Arabidopsis thaliana: one gene and its partners. The protein of the gene in region 1 interacts with the protein of each later gene in a pairwise test. Each region holds a gene or a part of one and is shown in the gene's direction. Other genes may lie near its edges.

What was found.
Region 2: the proteins of AT1G22810 (region 1) and AT4G13040 interact in a two-hybrid assay, tested with the Arabidopsis thaliana proteins (one large-scale study listed by BioGRID).
Region 3: the proteins of AT1G22810 (region 1) and URO interact in a two-hybrid assay, tested with the Arabidopsis thaliana proteins (one large-scale study listed by BioGRID).
Region 4: the proteins of AT1G22810 (region 1) and AT1G26610 interact in a two-hybrid assay, tested with the Arabidopsis thaliana proteins (one large-scale study listed by BioGRID).

Annotation. Positions count from the first base shown.
Region 1 is NC_003070.9:8,073,331-8,077,308, reverse strand, and holds AT1G22810 (Integrase-type DNA-binding superfamily protein), read left to right. Parts: upstream 1-2,271; 5' UTR 2,272-2,339; coding exon 2,340-2,774; 3' UTR 2,775-3,078; downstream 3,079-3,978. Other genes in the region: AT1G22830 (Tetratricopeptide repeat (TPR)-like superfamily protein), read right to left, coding at 1-388; AT1G22800 (S-adenosyl-L-methionine-dependent methyltransferases superfamily protein), read right to left, coding at 3,270-3,383, 3,559-3,713, 3,814-3,901.
Region 2 is NC_003075.7:7,611,567-7,616,736, forward strand, and holds AT4G13040 (Integrase-type DNA-binding superfamily protein), read left to right. Parts: upstream 1-2,153; coding exon 2,154-2,185; intron 2,186-2,505; coding exon 2,506-2,576; exon of another isoform or gene 2,577-2,653; coding exon 2,654-2,784; intron 2,785-2,993; coding exon 2,994-3,102; intron 3,103-3,201; coding exon 3,202-3,382; intron 3,383-3,454; coding exon 3,455-3,576; coding exon of another isoform or gene 3,577-3,649; coding exon 3,650-3,744; 3' UTR 3,745-4,389; downstream 4,390-5,170.
Region 3 is NC_003074.8:8,248,585-8,252,539, forward strand, and holds URO (C2H2 and C2HC zinc fingers superfamily protein), read left to right. Parts: upstream 1-1,934; 5' UTR 1,935-1,994; coding exon 1,995-2,513; 3' UTR 2,514-2,899; downstream 2,900-3,955. Other genes in the region: AT3G23145 (ATP binding / aminoacyl-tRNA ligase/ nucleotide binding protein), read left to right, coding at 3,554-3,616, 3,775-3,873.
Region 4 is NC_003070.9:9,190,861-9,196,206, forward strand, and holds AT1G26610 (C2H2-like zinc finger protein), read left to right. Parts: upstream 1-2,466; 5' UTR 2,467-2,797; intron 2,798-2,874; coding exon 2,875-4,242; 3' UTR 4,243-4,522; downstream 4,523-5,346. Other genes in the region: CLE9 (CLAVATA3/ESR-RELATED 9), read left to right, coding at 689-1,186; AT1G26620 (T-box transcription factor, putative (DUF863)), read right to left, coding at 4,978-5,346.

The DNA of each region.
Region 1 (3,978 bases):
CAGAGTAGAAAGTGACCAACTTTGGGACCAAAACAGAGTCAAACTCCAAACCCGACGAGATACAATGAGCATGAAGTTGCTGGCCAGGAACAAACTCATTAAAACCCACACATGTAGATAGAAGAGAAGCTGATGAATACAAAACGAATTCATGAGAACCAGACTGGTAGCGAAGTAGAGAGAAAGTTCTGAAAGCTTCATATAATTGACCATGGGAAATGCAATGTCTAAATGAATTGAAAAGCACTTGTGGAACTGATTCATCATCATGGGTTTTGGAAGTTTCTGAGATGGGTCTCGGCAGCTGTTTCCACGATTGAGGAATAAACTTGCAAATTTCGGATACAGTGAGACCTCTGAGTATAGAGCGAGAAGGAGAAGACGGCATATACAGTAAGCTGCATATGATGGCAACGAATGGATTTTGATTATTGTTCCAAGACTAGTTTGATCCATCAAAGCGAAAGTTCAAGCAATTTTGCTTCTCCGTCTGAAAGTCAAAGGAAGAAAGGTGAGAAAGATAAAAAAAAAGTTTCGTTGAGGAATTTCATCGAACATGTGGTGAGCGAAACATACCGTATACAGACGAAACATGGAAGTATAAGTACATCTAGAGAAACATAAAAGAGATAAGACAGATGTCATGTAGGAAGAAAAAGGAAAGAAGACAGTGATTCGGAGACAGTATCGACGGAACCGGACGAAGCGAAAGTAGGAGTAGCCGCGCGTGAAGGTTATGTAGAAAGAGACTCCTTTTTGACATTTATTCAATGTTCTGGCATGTGCTCAGATGATTTGGGCCGCTTGTTTAGATTTGTCCACTTCCAGACCCATTGCAATTGTAACCCATTTTAGCCCACTAAAATCTGACTGTAACAACTTTATAAATTTATGGTTTTTTCAAAATATTACCAAGGTTAAATAAATCGTGTTAGATGAAGTTGGCACCAGTTTTTGATATTACAAAATGAGGTCACTAGTATTTTTTTTATAAGAACTTATAATAAGTAATTTATTAATTGCATTATTTCATTAATATTGATTTTATATATACTGATACACTAGGGTTTTTATAAACATTTAAATTGTCTAAAATCGCATAGACCAACCGAGTAGGTGTGAATATTTATTGTCAGATATCAATAATCTGCTAGACGTTTCTAAAAACATCTCTAATCGTAACTTACCAAGTTACCTTTGAGGTTTCTTCTAAATGAGTCGGTGACTATGATAAGACGGTGTATCACATCACAATCAACTCCCAAATGTCAGTGTCGAGAAAAACCTAATCAAGTATCAACTACAAAGAATTGGTTATGCATCCGAAGGATGAAAACACATTAAATACATTATGAGACTGGGTTTCTCCGTGGATGATTCGTGTTTTGGATGTGGTTGTGTGTGAACTAAAATTTGACAACCATGTACATGAGTCAGCAGACACAGAAGAAGACAAAAAATAACTTTTTCCAGTTAGTTTGGGCTGTTGTGTCTGTGTGTTGTCCGTGGAGAATCATTAAGTCATTACAGATCTTTGGTCAAATGCCAAAAATAAAGGACCCCCTTTAGACGGTGCTCATGTCACGCATGACGCAATTTGTAACCAAAAAAGGCAAAGAAAGTCTTTCTTTATCCCACGTGGTTTAACCATCGACGACGACGTTTTCACATTCTTCATCGGTGGAGTTTGAATCGACTTTTGTGTTTTTCACTGCTTTTCTCTATACTATTATGTCATCACCTATTTTACAGATTTTTATGAAACGAAATAGAGGATATATAGTAGTATAAAATTCTAGATTTCGACTTAAGACTTTTTCATATAAAAAAAAATGAAAAACCTATAAATTAAGGTAACCTAACTATGATATACCAAAGCAACAACAACAAAAAATAAAGATTAATTTTCTATTTTAAAAAAACAAAAAATATCATTTATTTTGAAACCAAACAGAACGGTATATATACCACTTGTTTTATAGAAATGACTCTTACTTTCTAAATACATTGAATTTACTGTTAGACACAGCAAAAAAAAAAGTTACAACTTGAAAGAAAAAAAAATCGACTAGTCAGGCACATGTCAAATTGGTACCACTAAAAAAATGGGTCATACTTTGACCAGTTGATTTTTTCCTCGAGAATTAACTAGTTTTATAATTGGTCAACTTCATTCTCATTCTTGATTCATATTAAAAAATATTATATAATATTTTGACTTTCACTAAACTTCAACGTATAAATAGTCTTTGTATCTTCATATTCAAACATAAACAACACTCAAAAGTCTCTTCTTCTTCTTCTTCTTCTTCACATCGATCATCATACAACAACAAAAAATGGATTACAGAGAATCCACCGGTGAAAGTCAGTCAAAGTACAAAGGAATCCGTCGTCGGAAATGGGGCAAATGGGTATCAGAGATTAGAGTTCCGGGAACTCGTGACCGTCTCTGGTTAGGTTCATTCTCAACAGCAGAAGGTGCCGCCGTAGCACACGACGTTGCTTTCTTCTGTTTACACCAACCTGATTCTTTAGAATCTCTCAATTTCCCTCATTTGCTTAATCCTTCACTCGTTTCCAGAACTTCTCCGAGATCTATCCAGCAAGCTGCTTCTAACGCCGGCATGGCCATTGACGCCGGAATCGTCCACAGTACCAGCGTGAACTCTGGATGCGGAGATACGACGACGTATTACGAGAATGGAGCTGATCAAGTGGAGCCGTTGAATATTTCAGTGTATGATTATCTGGGCGGCCACGATCACGTTTGATTTATCTCGACGGTCATGATCACGTTTGATCTTCTTTTGAGTAAGATTTTGTACCATAATCAAAACAGGTGTGGTGCTAAAATCTTACTCAAAACAAGATTAGGTACCACAGAGAAACAATCAAATGGTTGTGAATATACATTATAAGGTTTTGATTAATGTTTGTTTCACTGATTTAGTGAAGTTTGGTCCATTGTATACAAATCTATTCAAGAAACCTAGCGCGAGATCATGTTTCGTGATTGAAGATTGAGATTTTTAAGTATTCGTAATATTTTTGTAAAATACAAATATGTTTCTGATCAGCTATTATTCGATACGAAATACATGGGCGAAAGCAGGCGTCCTAATTGTGATGCTTTCGCCCAGTGAAAGACTCCGACAAATCTACAAGAGTTCCTCCAAGTACCTTATAGCTTAAGTCACTGATTTCTCTCTCAAGTGTCATTTGTAAAGTCTCTGCTTATTGAATGTTTCTCTTCTTCAATCATTCCATCAAGATTGTCCGCCAAATTGCTTTTGGAGATCCGTGAAGGATACGGTGGCTGAACCTCTTCGTTTGGCCTGCGGGTGAGACGAATGTTCTCTCCATCCTGTCATGTAAATCACCTACACAAGAATGCCAAACGATATATACTTTAGGCCTCAAATGTTGTTAATTTCACTTGTAGTATTTAGCATAAAATTGTTTTAATCATGGATTGTAGCAAAACAACTTGAATAATGAAGCTAGGTTATGGGTTTTTTTCACTGTTGAGTTAGTTCTGAACTATTATGGACAGACCTGAAAAGTAGCGGGTATAGTGCCGTCCTCTGTGGCAAACATGGAGTCATATATGGCTGCCGTGGCAACAGCAGTTTCACGATTCAAAATCTTGTTTCTCTCGAGAAGAGCATTGGTTTCACCCATCGCACGAAGATGCTCTATAAGATCCATCGCTGAGTAGAAAGATATAAACGAGAAGGCAAATCAGAAATAATTCTTGGAAGATACACGTTGTTGCAAACGATGAAGTAGGAAAAAAGTGGAACAGTTTACCTCTCTTGTATTTAACTACATATTCATCAACATCAACACCAGGAAGACTAAAACCCGCCCTGGTCAACAGATTCCCTGCGTCCCTAACCTGAAAAAGAAAAGAGAAGCCATGTTCTTTCACCTCAGTACTAGAAATCAACTTGATCTTGCTAAGATATTCACACA
Region 2 (5,170 bases), on another chromosome or scaffold:
ATAGAGAGAGTTATGAACGAGAGAGAGAGTTATGAAATTTACATGATCACAAAACAAACGGTTTTATGTCTATAGAATCTTGAAAATTTTAACACTTTTTCTAAATGTAACAATTAAGAGAGAGAGATAATTATTAAAATTACACGTCACAAATGTTTTTGTGTCTAAGGAATTTTGAAAATTTGAGACTCACCATCTAAAATTCATTAGACAACTTTTTTTTAATTTTTTTCTTTGAAATTCAGGAGATTCTGGGCCGAATCCCGTAATCCCCCAAGTCCGAAATCATTAGACAACTTTTTTATTAGAAGGTTGACAATTTGAAAATTTCCTAGCTTTTATCTTTCTAATTAAGTTTACCTCTTTCTCATACATACATGCATCAAAAAAAAATTCACCCGAATGAATTTGTTACCAAAACACATGACAATGCATAGAAAGATTTGTCTTTAGCTTTTATAAAATATTTGTTTGTGGGATGATCTTTTCTTTTTAGATATTTCCTTCTGTTTTTCTTTGCTGATCTTTTTAAAGCTTTTTCAACCCACTATGATGTTGTTATAATTTAGTGTAGAAAAATATCTCGTGAAACTCTAAAGGATGAAAACTTTAGATTAACATTGATATCTCTCTCTTAATTAGTTACTCTTCTTAACTCCTTTTATAAAGACAAATTAACTACTCTTCCATGAAAAGAAGAGCTGTATTATAGGTCTATCAAAGTTCTAAACATAGCCTACTAGAGATTTTACACGGGTTTTTCGTTCACTAAGAGAGAATTTATACATTTTTTTTTGTTTTTGGTAAAAATTTATATACATTTTCTTTTATAGACATTTCTTCTCATATACTTCATTTTTAGTGTTTTTCAAATGTCTTTAGCTTTTTGTTCTTGCTTATGATCTTCGTTAGGGCATCACACTAAATATGATATGATTATAATTTAGTGTATGATAAAAACTACTTTGTATGGATATAGCGTGGACAAGATATTGTTGATATATATTTAAAACAACTTCTTATGATCATATGGACATAGCATGGACAAGATATTTATTTGATTTAATATTTGAAATGTCTTTATTTTTTTAATCTTGTTAGGGTTTCACACTAAATATGATATGGTTGTATAATTTAGTGTATGATAAAAAGAACTTCTTAACGAATGTGAAAAAACAAGAACCAGACCAATTAAATATAGGAAAATTTACATTTTTAACCCTCAAAATATCATTTAAATACTATTTGGGTGTTATTTGTGTTCCAAATATATTTATGTGTAAAACTTTTTGGGTGTTATTTGTGTTCCAAAAACTTGATTAAATAAAACAATTTTCTCTTTAATATTTATTTTTTACACTTTCATAAGATGTATGTAAATATTTTTTTAACTATAACTAATTAATACTTTTTCTAAATAACAATTTATGATGAGAAATGTTTAGTTTATGTTTTTCTAAATTTAATATACAATTAAAAAAAAAACTCGCATGTTGGACAAGTATAATCTATTGTTATATATAATCATGAGATTTTTTGTTCCACCATTATCGTTGTCAATTATTATTCTATTATTTTCGTTTTTTTCTAGCATTTATCTGTTTTTACTTATTAATAAATATATTTTCAACACATTGTTTTAAATAGTTTTGTCAAAATATTTAATTTTCCTTCTGGTCTTCTCAGCGTTTACCAACCAAATAAATAGAGGGCCAAAGGTGGTAGATGCATGAACCTCTAACACCACCACAACTTCAACACAATTAAACTCGTCTCTCTTTATCTTTCTCTCTCTCTCTCTTCTGTTCATTAACAAAATCCAGAACTATATGAGACCTTGTTGTCACTTACCACCTTCTTAGAGGTACCTCAATCGTTTCCTTAATTGCTCAGATTTTCCGGTTTAACTCTTTAACCGGTCTCTGTTTTTTTTAATATCCCCTAAAGCTTTGATTTTGATGCAATGGATTGGTTTCTATTGAGTTTGTGTGCAATGGGTATGTTTAGTTTTTGTCGTTGCTGATTTTGTTTCTCTGGAGAAGACTAATCCATTCTCATATTTGGCTTCTTGTTTTTTCTTTCCTCTTCTTGATTGGATCAAATCCATGAACCCATCTTCTGTTGACTCTGGTTTTTAGATTTAGCTTAGGTTTATGAGAATCCATGAAAAAGGTGGCGGTGGTAGGTTTTGTTCTTATTGAGGAGTTGACTTGATTTGGTTAAAAAGTCTTCCTTGATTAGTTACCAATTTCCCTTTTCATCGAGTACAGATTCATATCTTCACGTACTTTGATGGGTTTGATGAGCTGTTTAATTTGACTTTTGGAGAAACTAAAGTAGCTGTTCTTGTCGGATCTACGTGTTAACTTTTACACTTTATGGTCTCAAAACACTAAACATATGGTTAATGAGGCTATATTTTGTGTAATCTTACTTAATTTAGACATTTTCTGTTTTCTGTGAGTTGTTTCTTGAAGTGAGTAGTGCTTTGTTTGTGGTCTATAGGAGAAAAGTAAAACATTCAGAAGTCGATATGGTGAGCTTACGAAGACGTAGGCTATTGGGTCTTTGTTGTGGTAAACAATGTTCTTGACTAAATGCTACTATATAGTCCAATATTAGGCATAATGATGAATTAGTTTTATTTCTCTAGGACCAAATGGTTATGTGACACCACTTCCATTTTTAACTGCTGAGGAGATGATCACTGGGATTCCAAATCCTAATGCCAGAGCAGCTTATAATCCCGGGCCAGCAGAAACGGTTACAACGGTTATCGTGGAGGTACGGAAAAATGTTTTGATTTATATGGTTTTGCTAATTGTTTATCGAGGTTACTCTAACAAATGTCTAAGGGCTAGTGCAATATGTAATATGTAGTGTTACTTATGTGATATGTAGTGTTACTTATGTGATACATTTCGCTTTAGTGTTTCTTATTTATACGGCTTTAGTCATTCTAACAATTGAGCCTTCATTCTTTTGGTTTGCAGAAAAAGGCTATTGAAGAAAGAAGCCGAAGAACTCGGTCAAAACATATGCATTTCAGGTCTGATTATTCAGATATCTCACCGGTTAATTCTGATTCCATCTCACCAAAATGTGAGTAGTAGAACATATGTGAGAGAGGACCAATTTCTCATTTGCTTACTAATTGATTGAGACGAGTGAGAATTATATTATATTATCTCCCATTTATAGACCAGCCGCCGAAACGAAGAAAGCAGCATAGAAGAAAGCGAGTACATAACCAAGAACCATGTTTGATGAGAGGAGTCTACTACAAAAACATGAAATGGCAAGCCGCCATTAAAGTCGAGAAGAAACAAATCCACTTAGGCACTTTCTCTTCTCAAGAAGAGGCTGCTCGCTTATACGATAGGTAAAACTCTTTCGGGTTTTTTTTTTGCAATTCAAGTAATTCATTACCATTGACAATTATCACCTCTATTAGGGCTGCTTTCATGTGTGGGAGGGAACCGAACTTTGAGCTCTCGGAAGAAGTTATACGAGAACTCAAACAGCAAAGCTGGGAAGAGTTCTTGAATTGCACACGCCGAACAATTACGAACAAAAGTAAGGTTTTACTAACAACAAACTGTAGTGTATTTTGTTTGATAACCTTTTGCTGGACTCTTTGGATATGCAGAACCAAAGAGTAGGATAGAACATGAGGATACGAAGATCAATGCCAGCATGCCACATCAACCAGAAGAAGAAGAGCAAGATTCAGACAAAATGTGATAAGTTGTGCAAAAGATACAACCAGACTCATATACAAAGATAATTATTATTCATCAAGAAAATAGTAACATATATAAAGCATAGTCGTAAAAAACAAATAGCATCACTCATAGTAAGAGACAAATTAGAGACTCGCCATTAAGACCAAATGGTTATGTGACACCTTCTTGACACAAAAAAAAAAAAGGTTATGTGACACCTTTTTAATGGCTGAGGAGATGGCCAGCAGAAACGGTTAAACTGGCTATCGAGGAGGTACGGAAAAATGTTTTGAGTTTTAAGAATCTTTTAAGAAATCCGTACCACACTTTTCCTAACATAACTAGTTCAATTTTTGAGATCAAATCACTTTTGTGTATCATGATTTAAAACTCTGAAGTTCTCTAGAACACATGGATAATTCTTTACATCATATGGAACCAAATTCATATATGGACGCTTCACGTCCTCTACGGTTCTCATGTGCTTGACCATCTTTGTGATATATTCGGTGCCCGAGCAAGCTACTTGGTTAGCCAATGGTTCTTTTGAGTCAACTTTTTATTATTGTGACTCATACTATCTTCTCCTGACTTCTGCTCTTAATTCTCTATAGAAAAGTTCTCTGATAGATAACAAGTAATTCAAACAAATAGATATAGAACCATCTCGTAAAAACAAAAACATTAGTATATGAAAATTATGTTTTCTTATTATTTTAAACATTGAAAAATACAAAAACATATCAAATGAGCTATTTATTAGAAGAAAAAAAAACAATTTGACTAAAGAGTTAGTTCTTATGGCTTATGTAGGAGGTCATAAGCACATTATGAACGCCAGAACGTACAGGCAATGCCGCACGTCCATCCATTCGAAAATATATATGATCTACTCTAGCAATATACACACGTAGTTGACCACATTGAATATAATTTGGAATTGTAGGATAGTTTAAAAACTTTTGGAACATATGCTTCAACCTCGTTATAAAACTTCATGTTAATCTCTTGCCTAAAAAGACATTTCCAAATCGATCGCTTGGTTCCGACTTCCGTCATCCTTAAATTTAATGATTTTTGTACCTTTGGCGTTTAAATATTGGACTCCTAAATTTTGGTTCTCTGAGCGGCAATGATATTGGAGAATTCTACTAGAACCGAAATTGTTCTTAATCACAATCTCAGTTTTCTTGCAAGCATCATTTACCACAAAATAAATCGCACTAACTAATATGAAAATTATTAGACGACTCATTTGTTTGAATCTAAAGTAATTGTCAGAGAAACAAGAGCATCAACATGTAATAGTTTTTTTTTCTGTGTGTGGAAACCTTTTTCTTTATTTAGCAAATAATGTTTGCTGAAGTGTTAACTATATTTAGAGACAAACATGCATGAACATATTAGAAATTTGGTCAAAAGAGATTTTAGTGTCTAAATTTATG
Region 3 (3,955 bases), on another chromosome or scaffold:
CGAAACAAATACTAACATCACTTAAATAAATTGATGTAAACATTACATCATTTTTAGTAACTGATACAATATTGATATCAATTACAATAATCGATGTAATTATTTTGATTATTTACATCGGTTACTAATTAACCGATGCAAATTATTTGCATCAACAATATTTAAGTCACTTATTTAAATGATACAAAATTCTTTTACATCACTTTTAACTAATGCAAATATTTATAATAAATGATGTAAAACAACCTTTTTTTTGTAGTGTCTCCAACACTACATAGAGCATTTCTATATATGCATACACTATTCTTTCAGTTTATTACTATTAATGTTGTATATCACCCGCAAGTCCAAACACACATATAAATATTGAAACTGTTGGTGGATATTTTTTCCGTATGATTCTTTTATCAAGCTTAATTATATAGACCTTACCTTGACCGAGTTTGTTTCTTATCCACATGCCAATTTAGAATATTTGTTCGTGCGGGTTTTATGAAACAAATGTTATTGATGAAAGAAATAAATGTAGCTTTAGGAGGCTAAAGTCTACGATGAGCTGTAGTCCCAAAGTTCTTTTTCGTCTGTTATAAATTCACTAGTGAATATTCTTAAGTCAGTAGGATTCTCACATGTTCTCGAAATCCTATAAAACATTAATGCTCCTGATCAGCTTATAGAAAACGAATGACAATAGTTCTTTATCTAAATCCATAAAACATAATGGTATACTTGTTTTACTATATATTATCTGCATGATCTCACTAAAAAGAGACTACGCCAAAAGGAAGTCAGCCTACATAATAACAAATCTATTCAACTTCCATAATATCATTTTTCTTGAGGCTATAATTATTTTCCATTGCATATATAGAGAGTTTTGATCCATCGTGATTCGTTAAACGTTCTATTATATCCTAAAAAACGATATGGCAATAGCTAAAACCGAACTTATAAAACGCGGTTTCAATCGGTCCATAGAAGTTAAAGGGTACCGGTGTGAACGAAGTAAGTTTATGGAGGTGAATATTATTTTGTCGGTTCTGAAATTGAATACAGTAAAATATTAATTTTAGCAATCCTAAGAGTAGCAGGCGATCGCTCATCGATCGTATTTTTTTCTAAGTTTTATTTTGTTTTTGTTAAAGCATATTTTTCTAAGTATAGAAACCATCGAAATCAATTTCAGTTTTGGGGAGAACTCATAATAAATTTCATAAATGCTATTTAATTAATGAGAGCAATTTGTATATTCTTAATTGTTTTACCTACTTTAAGCACAACCACAAGTCCACAACTCCTTAGTGAATGCTTCTTTTAAAAAATTTGGTTTTATTATTTTGTAGGTATTACATGTTCACATTCAAAATATATTTCACACTATATTAGATTAAATTTAACTAAGCTTTAATATTTCACTAGCTCCTACTAGCCTTCCAATTTTTACAATTTTACTTTGCAATTTTTACTCTCGATCCAAACAAATAAGTACTTTTTTGTACTATATTCAAAGATGAACAACTTTATATTTTTCTTGAACAAAAATGAAATTGAATAGAGAGAAACTAGCTACCCTAACTAGTCACTCGAAACCTTATAAATAACACCTTCTGTAGTTTGTTTTCCTATGAAGAATATTTTTCAACTTTATCTATTATATTATCCTTTGTTAAACTTTCCCTGAAAATTGTTAGAAAATAAACTAATTAAAATAATTCTAAGCATGACGTTTTTGTAGTTATTAATTCATGTTACATTAGACGCACGAATTTAATTATAATACACACCCCCGTAATTAAGTACATTAAAGACCCTAAAGTATATATATTAACCATTGATAAAACAATTTAGCCCTAATTAGTGTCCGTTCACACACATAATCTTTCCTTTAGCTTATATATACGCTGGTGTGTGTTTTTAAGAAGCTTCATACACTCATTTTCAAAACATTGAATACTGAGACTTGAGAGAGATCCCAACAGAAGAAGAAGAGAGAGATGAACCACCGGGACAAACAAATTGATTCCGGCTCTGGCTCTGGAGAAAACCGCCGGACTTATGACTGCGACATCTGCAAGAGAGGTTTCACGAATCCTCAAGCCCTCGGTGGTCACAATAACATCCACCGCAGGGAACGCGAAAGATACCCCTCCTCCTCTTCTTCTTCTCACTCATTTCCATTTTCTCTTCCGTTACCATCTCAGTCTCCCTCCTCCTCCACAAACTTCACAAACCCTCCTCCTTATTTTCCGACCATTGAGTCATACCTACACCAAGGGTCTCAGCCACCTATTAACCCTAGCCACAACACACAATACTTTGGATCATCATCATCATCAAGAGGAGGAGGGAGATTTGCTCAAGGGGCGTCTCATGATCTTAATTTGAGCTTAGGGCTCGGATCCATGAATGAAGATGATGACACTCACCGGAGCCCACCAGAGACCGGAGGTTCTCAACCTCAAGATGGTGATCTTGATCTTGATCTTCGACTCGGCGGTCATCGTCATCATTAAGCTTGCAGCGGTTTCCCTCACGTTCGATCCACGTAACCATATACAATATATATATATAGTTGAAAGTTAATCACCGTATAGTGCATGATGTTTATTGTGGTGTTTATATATGTTTTCAATATATATGTAGTATGATCAAAATATGTTGGACTTGGAGTCATGTTTTTATCATGATCGTATGAAGTTTGGGTTTGTATAATTCAAGACTATATTTTTCACTTAAAAATTATAGATCAAATAGGTTAATTTGAGTAATGTTTTTGTTATACCTTTTTCAAAAAGAAAAAAAAATGTTCTTGTTGTCTGAAGTTGGGTTTGTATAGTACAGGATTATTGTTCTTTTCCATAACTATATATTAGTGTAGATCTATAGATCAAGTAGTTTTGCGTAATATGTTCTAATAATTAGTTACGTTGTATGAAATTTGGGTTTGTATAATCAAAGACTATCTATCATTCTCTTGTATAATATTTTACATGAATTTACATTTCAAGTGGGTTTGTATGAATTTACATTATAAAGTAAGTTTAAACTTATATTATGAATGAATTCGAACTGCAATGGGATAAACATTATATGCGTTTTAATAATAGGTTGGTGAAGTTTATAATTTACACCATTTGAAAAGCCTTCCAAATTTAGAAACTACATTTTTGCAGACCCATGTGAGCTCATATGAATCAATCATAGCCTTGATGTTGTAAAACAAATTATGATTATAAAAATGTGATAGTATATTACATGCATAAAAAATAAAGGAGAGTAAATGAAAGTCAAATCTGGGTTTTATGAACTGAAAGTTGAAGTTTAGAAGTAGAAGTAGCGATCAAAGTATGACCAGTTAAAAGGCCCAATATCATTTGGAGGTTTGATTTTTGGGTTCGTAAATTTCAAGAGCCAGATTATGATTTGCTGGGCTTAAAAATCATGGAAAAATTGAAATGACGGTGTTAAAATATATAACTCAAATTAAAGATTTTAATTGGGTGTAGTAGGCTGATTTTTTTATAAGAATCTTGTCTATAGATGCTTCAAGGTTATGCCTTATAGTACTGGTTGTAAAACACCACTATCTAATTTTGAAGCTGGTCAGAACTATAAGGTATGTTGTTGTTGGCCTTGTTGCTAATGAAGATTATAACATTCTGTTGTTGCATTTTTTTTTTTTTTTTTGTGTTAAATATATATATTTTTTTTGCATATTTATTGTTGCATATTGTGTTGCATATTTAGTAATGGTTACATTCCCTGTTATCGGAGATCCAAGATAATACGGCTCTTGTGGCATGGACTACTACTCCATGGATTCTTCCAAGTAATCTTGCTTTGTGTGTCAATGCAAAGTTTGTCTATCTTAAGGTTCGTCAACAACACTGGAAAAGTCTACATTGTTGCTGAATCTCGGTTGTCATCGCTTCCTAGTGATAAGCCTAAGGCCGGC
Region 4 (5,346 bases), 1.1 Mb from region 1:
TATGAACTCAAGTATTGATGTATATATTATCTTCAGCTTTTTAGGGACCTTTCATGTTTCTTACTGATTACTGAGATTCATTCTTCTTGTCTTCAAAGAAAGCTGTTACTTTTAAAGTTTTTTTTTCCTTTTTCGAGCTTTCACCTATAAGACTTCCTCTGTATTCATATTAGCACAATCAAAGTCAAGACTACAAGAGCCATTGTCTATTGCTTTTATGATGATGTTTTGGTTCTAACATAAAAAGGGAGAGAGTTGTGTTCAAGTTAAAGTTGTTGATTCAATTGAAAGGAGGAAAAGCAAAATAAATAAATCCCAAATTTGGTAACTTTACTAATTTATAGGTAGTTGGGTTTAGATAGACTCCTATTGGGCCTGTTAAGGCCTTTAAACTATAGAAGCCGATAAAGACCCAGGAGTTAACTTGAGAGTCACGAAACCACTCAAATACACGTTCTTGTTTATCTTGTGTACGTAATTACTACATAAACCCATTATTTTGTACGTATAACGTATTGTATGAAAAAGCTAAAGAAAGTGAAATAAATCTAGGATCGAAATGTATATAATAAAGTTCACGGGTTGGTATTTATGTCAATGAAAACGAACTAAGCGAAGGACCCACTTTTTTTTGTATAACCAGTTTTGCCCTCTCATTTACTAAAACTAACCGTCATAACATCGATTCATGTGCTTCTTCTGTGTTGCATTTATATCCCAATTTGCTTCCACCAAATATCTTCCCTCTCTCGATTTTAAACTTCTTCTTCTCCAAGACCACTTCTCACTTTCTCTCTCTCGCTCTCTCTTGGAAACCAAAACAATGACGATGACTCACCTGAATCGTCTGATCTTGATCTCTCTTCTCTTCGTCTCTTTACTTCTCAAATCCTCCACCGCTTCTTCAACCGTCGTCGACGAAGGAAACAGAACATCAAGAAACTTCCGTTACCGAACGCACCGATTCGTTCCGAGGTTTAACCACCACCCTTACCACGTGACTCCTCACCGTTCGTGTGATTCCTTCATTCGTCCTTACGCGCGTTCTATGTGCATTGAGCTTCAGAGAATCCACCGTAGCAGTCGGAAGCAGCCACTTCTTTCTCCTCCTCCTCCGGAGATTGATCCAAGGTACGGCGTCGACAAAAGACTCGTCCCCTCTGGTCCAAACCCGCTTCACAACTAAAACCATATCCTCAAGTTTCTATACATACATATATACAGAAACATTTGTCACATATTTTCTAATTTAACTCGTTTCTCGGATTTGTTCGAGAGAGATTTGTGTACTTTATAGCTAGAGTTATTTTGGCCCAAGAAGATGGTTCGTTAGTTCTTCTTGGTCTTCTTTGCGGAAATTTCTTATTTCTACTTTCTTGATCTTGTAATGGAGTCTTGCGTTATGGTAATATTGTAACTAAGCTATTTCCACGCTTGTTTTTGGGCTTTGTAGTGTGAAAACAATCTTGGAAATAGTGTATTTTTGCAAGGGACTTTCTTTTGTTTTTCTAATGAGAAAATGATAAATTATAGTTTTGAAAGCGAAAGGAGAAAAAAAGATTTAGTATGGTTGGGAGAGGAGAGGTGAAGAAACGCATGAGCTCCATTAATTTGGGAGCTGTATTTATGTAACTCTAAAGTTTCCATTGGTCTATCAATAAAAATTTAAAAAGGTTGATGGGGCATATATATGTTATGTTCTTCTCTTTCGTGTGATATTTCGCTGTAAAGATATTTATTTCGCTTGTCTCTGTCAATAGACAATAGTAAAAACTTTGCAAATATAGAAACTTTTATTTATAATTTTGCCAACCAGATTTTCCTTTATCATTTTGCCAGCCAAATTTTTTATGTCTACTCATTTTTACAAATGTGGCACCGTCCACCATGTACGTGTTATCATCCGATTTAATCAACGGATTATAAGTTGTAGAAAATATTATTTATTACTCTTTATGAAAAGGAAAGTTATGAAAGAAAATGTATATATCTTAATGTTTATCGCCAAATTTATGGGATAAAAGTGTTTTAAGATGAGATGATGAATATAGTGCAAGCCTGGCAAAACAGAAAAGGAAACAAGAAGCAAAATTGGAGGGGAAAAAAATAATCTTTATAGAGTAAAATAGAAATAACTTGAATGCATTTTTGGTATAAGATGAATCAGAAAAAGTTATAATTTTTGTTTGTAACTTGTGAATTTCGAGTATTTTATCTAGTACATATCACTTTTTGGGTTTAGAGCCTTTCAAAATCTCTGGACCGGACCGGTCTACTCGCAACAAAATGATGGATTCAGCTAAAATGTGTCGGATCTACTAATCTTTTTTTTTTTTGTTGCTTAGTTAGCTAATTACTTTCTTGCATTCTTTATTTGGTTGCTTTTATCCAAAAACAGACTAAAATAATGCGTGTATAGCTTTCACTCTTAAGCAAAATCCGCCTAGACAATGGTCACGTCTTCACTCATTTCTCTACTATTCTCTTATGAAAAATGTCAATAAAAAATTTGCACACTGTATAATGTAATAATCTGAGTATCAAAAAATTTTTATTTTATATCTTTCATTCGCAACCCCAAAAAGAAAGTAAATCTGCTAACTTTAGATATTGAGGAAATTTCAAAGTCAGTTTTATTTGTTTCCTGTTTTTGTGTTCTCTTTGCCTTGATGGTAGGATCTGTAGTTAACAAGACTAGTGTTACATCTCCAAACTCTGATCGCTGGAAAAGTATCAAGCTTTCTGCTTGATTCTCTTTCTTAGCATCTGTCAAGCTTTCTTTGAAGATAAATTTGAGGTAAAAATCAAACTAATGGCTTCTCTCACTTTTTGTTTCTACTTCTTCTTATGATCTTTTGTCTTTGTTTTGATCAGATGGAGCAGTTCAAAGAGAGGAAGTTTGTTTGTAAGTTCTGTAGCAAGAGGTTTCCTTGTGGGAAATCACTTGGAGGTCACATCAGAACTCACATGAATGAGAATTCAGCTGATTCAGATGAAGATGAGGCTGATAAGCTCAAGATGATTGATGAAAATGGTGGTCAATCTAGTTATGGTCTGAGAGAGAATCCTAAAAAGAACAAGAGGTTTGTGGATCACAGACAGATTATGGCTCTGAAACAGCAGCAGCAGCAGCAACAACTTCAAGAGCTGCGTCGTTGCAGAGAATGTGGTAAAGGTTTTGTTTCTTCTAAAGCTCTTTGTGGTCACATGGCTTGTCACTCTGAGAGAGAGAAGATTGTTATGGATAGTCAATCTGATACTGAGGCTTCTTCCTCTCCTATCAGAAGAAGATCCAAGAGAGTTGTTGTGAAACCTCACCACAAAGCTGCTTTTGTAGTTGGTGGTAATGGTATTATGAATCAATCTATTTCAGCTTCTTCTGATGCTTCTGAGATTGAGCCTGAACAGGAGGAAATGGCAAGGTCTTTGATGATGCTTTCGAGGGATTCTAGTTTTAAGAAAGGACATAACTCTTTGGCTGAGTCATCTGACAACAACTCTGTGATTCTTGAGACTAAGTCATCTTCAGGTGAGCAGGTTAAGATGTTCAATGTGAAGAATGTTGAAGAGTTATGTAAGAAGAACAAACTTGTAGTTGATAACCAGATGAGGTCTGGTGAAGAAAATGGTGATGTTCATTATGATTCAGATAATTCTGACTCTGGCTACTTCAGGAATGGACCAAAGAAGTTGGACTCAGATGTTTCTGTTGATGGGTTCTTTAGGAACAAAACAATAATGGGATCTGGATCCGGATTCAACAGCTCCCCAACAAAACAAGATAGGGACATGAACAGATTCAGGAAGGAATGGTATAAGGAAGGAGGGTCAGGGTCAGGATCAGGATCAGGTCGTTCTTCTACAAAGTATGATCTGAGGAAAAGCAAAAGAGGTTTTCCTTCTCATGGTCGTAAGAAAATCAAGTATGAGTTCACTGAATCTGTCTATGACAGTGGTGAGCATAGCTTGGAAACTGACTCTTGTGCGGACACAAACAGAACTATCAAGATTCATAGTAAGTCTCCAATGGTTAAGAAAGCAAACGGTGCAAAGAAGAAAAGCAAAGGTCACGAGTGTCCGATTTGCTTCAGGGTGTTCAAATCAGGACAAGCTTTAGGAGGTCACAAGAGATCACATTTCATTGGGAATCAAGAACACAGGACTTTGGTGATTCAACATCAAGTAGCTCATGAGATGCATACACTCATCGATCTCAATCTTCCTGCTCCTATTGATGAATGATCTTACTAAAACCGAAACCGCGGTTTTCTTCTCTTTATTGTTTCCTTTCTGTTTATTGATTCTTTTGCTTCAGATTCAAGAATGCTTTTGGTTTGCAAGGCAAATCAAAGTCATCTTTTATTTGTTCATAATCATATAAAAGCTTGGTGCTTTTGTGGCAGAGTTCAATGATACTTCAACTGGAAATAGAATAGTAAAACAATTATGAGAAAGCAAAAGGACCCCATGTCACCTCTAAGAAGAAACTCTTGTCAAAAGTGTTCTTCTCTATTTTGGTCAATCTTTTTCTTTTTGAAACAAAAGTCAAATCATTTTTAAGCAAACTATAAGTGTTTTTTTCGCAACATATGTACCGACCCTGTGGTCTAATTTGGCGTAGATAACATGTGTAACACTCAACCAGTTAAATGTTATGACCTAATTAAAGATGACGTTTTAGAATCAAATTATCTTTAATGGACAATCGTTTTATACTTGGCTCTCAATTAAGAAGAAATCTATCTGTTTTATAACCAACCAGGCTATAATACAAAGCAAATCATGTTTTGGTCCATCTTACAGAAGATAAAAGATATACAAAACGAAAAGAGACATAAATCACCTCCCAAATAGGTGAAAACAATTAACAACATCAGTCTACTGTATAAAAAAAATAATTTGGTATAATCTCTCTGTTTTATACCCCCCTCTATAGAATTTCCAAGTTTGGTAAATTCCGATTATTTCCTGAAACTATTATGTTAAGATCACGGTTGGGGGATTACTACCTGCAGGAGGGCACCTTTGTCTCCTCGGTCTTCTTGTTGCTTGTCCCCATCCTGAGAGCTTACTGTCTTCAAGTCCTCCCACTGATACGCTCTCATTCATTGGCTGCGCCATTGACGGGCATAATGGAGCTTGGTTTATGTTAGTGACATTTCGTTTTCTTTTTGAGTTCCGTCGAACAGCCAATCCAGAACTCCAAGTGTAGTCTCCGGTTTTCATCAGTCCCCCAAACATTTGGATATCTTCAGTGACTTCATGCCTCGACAGAGAAGAGAGACCAGGTAGAGTATCCCTTTGGAAATCCCGCTTTGGTCTTCCTCGTCTTGCTTGTCCTCTTCT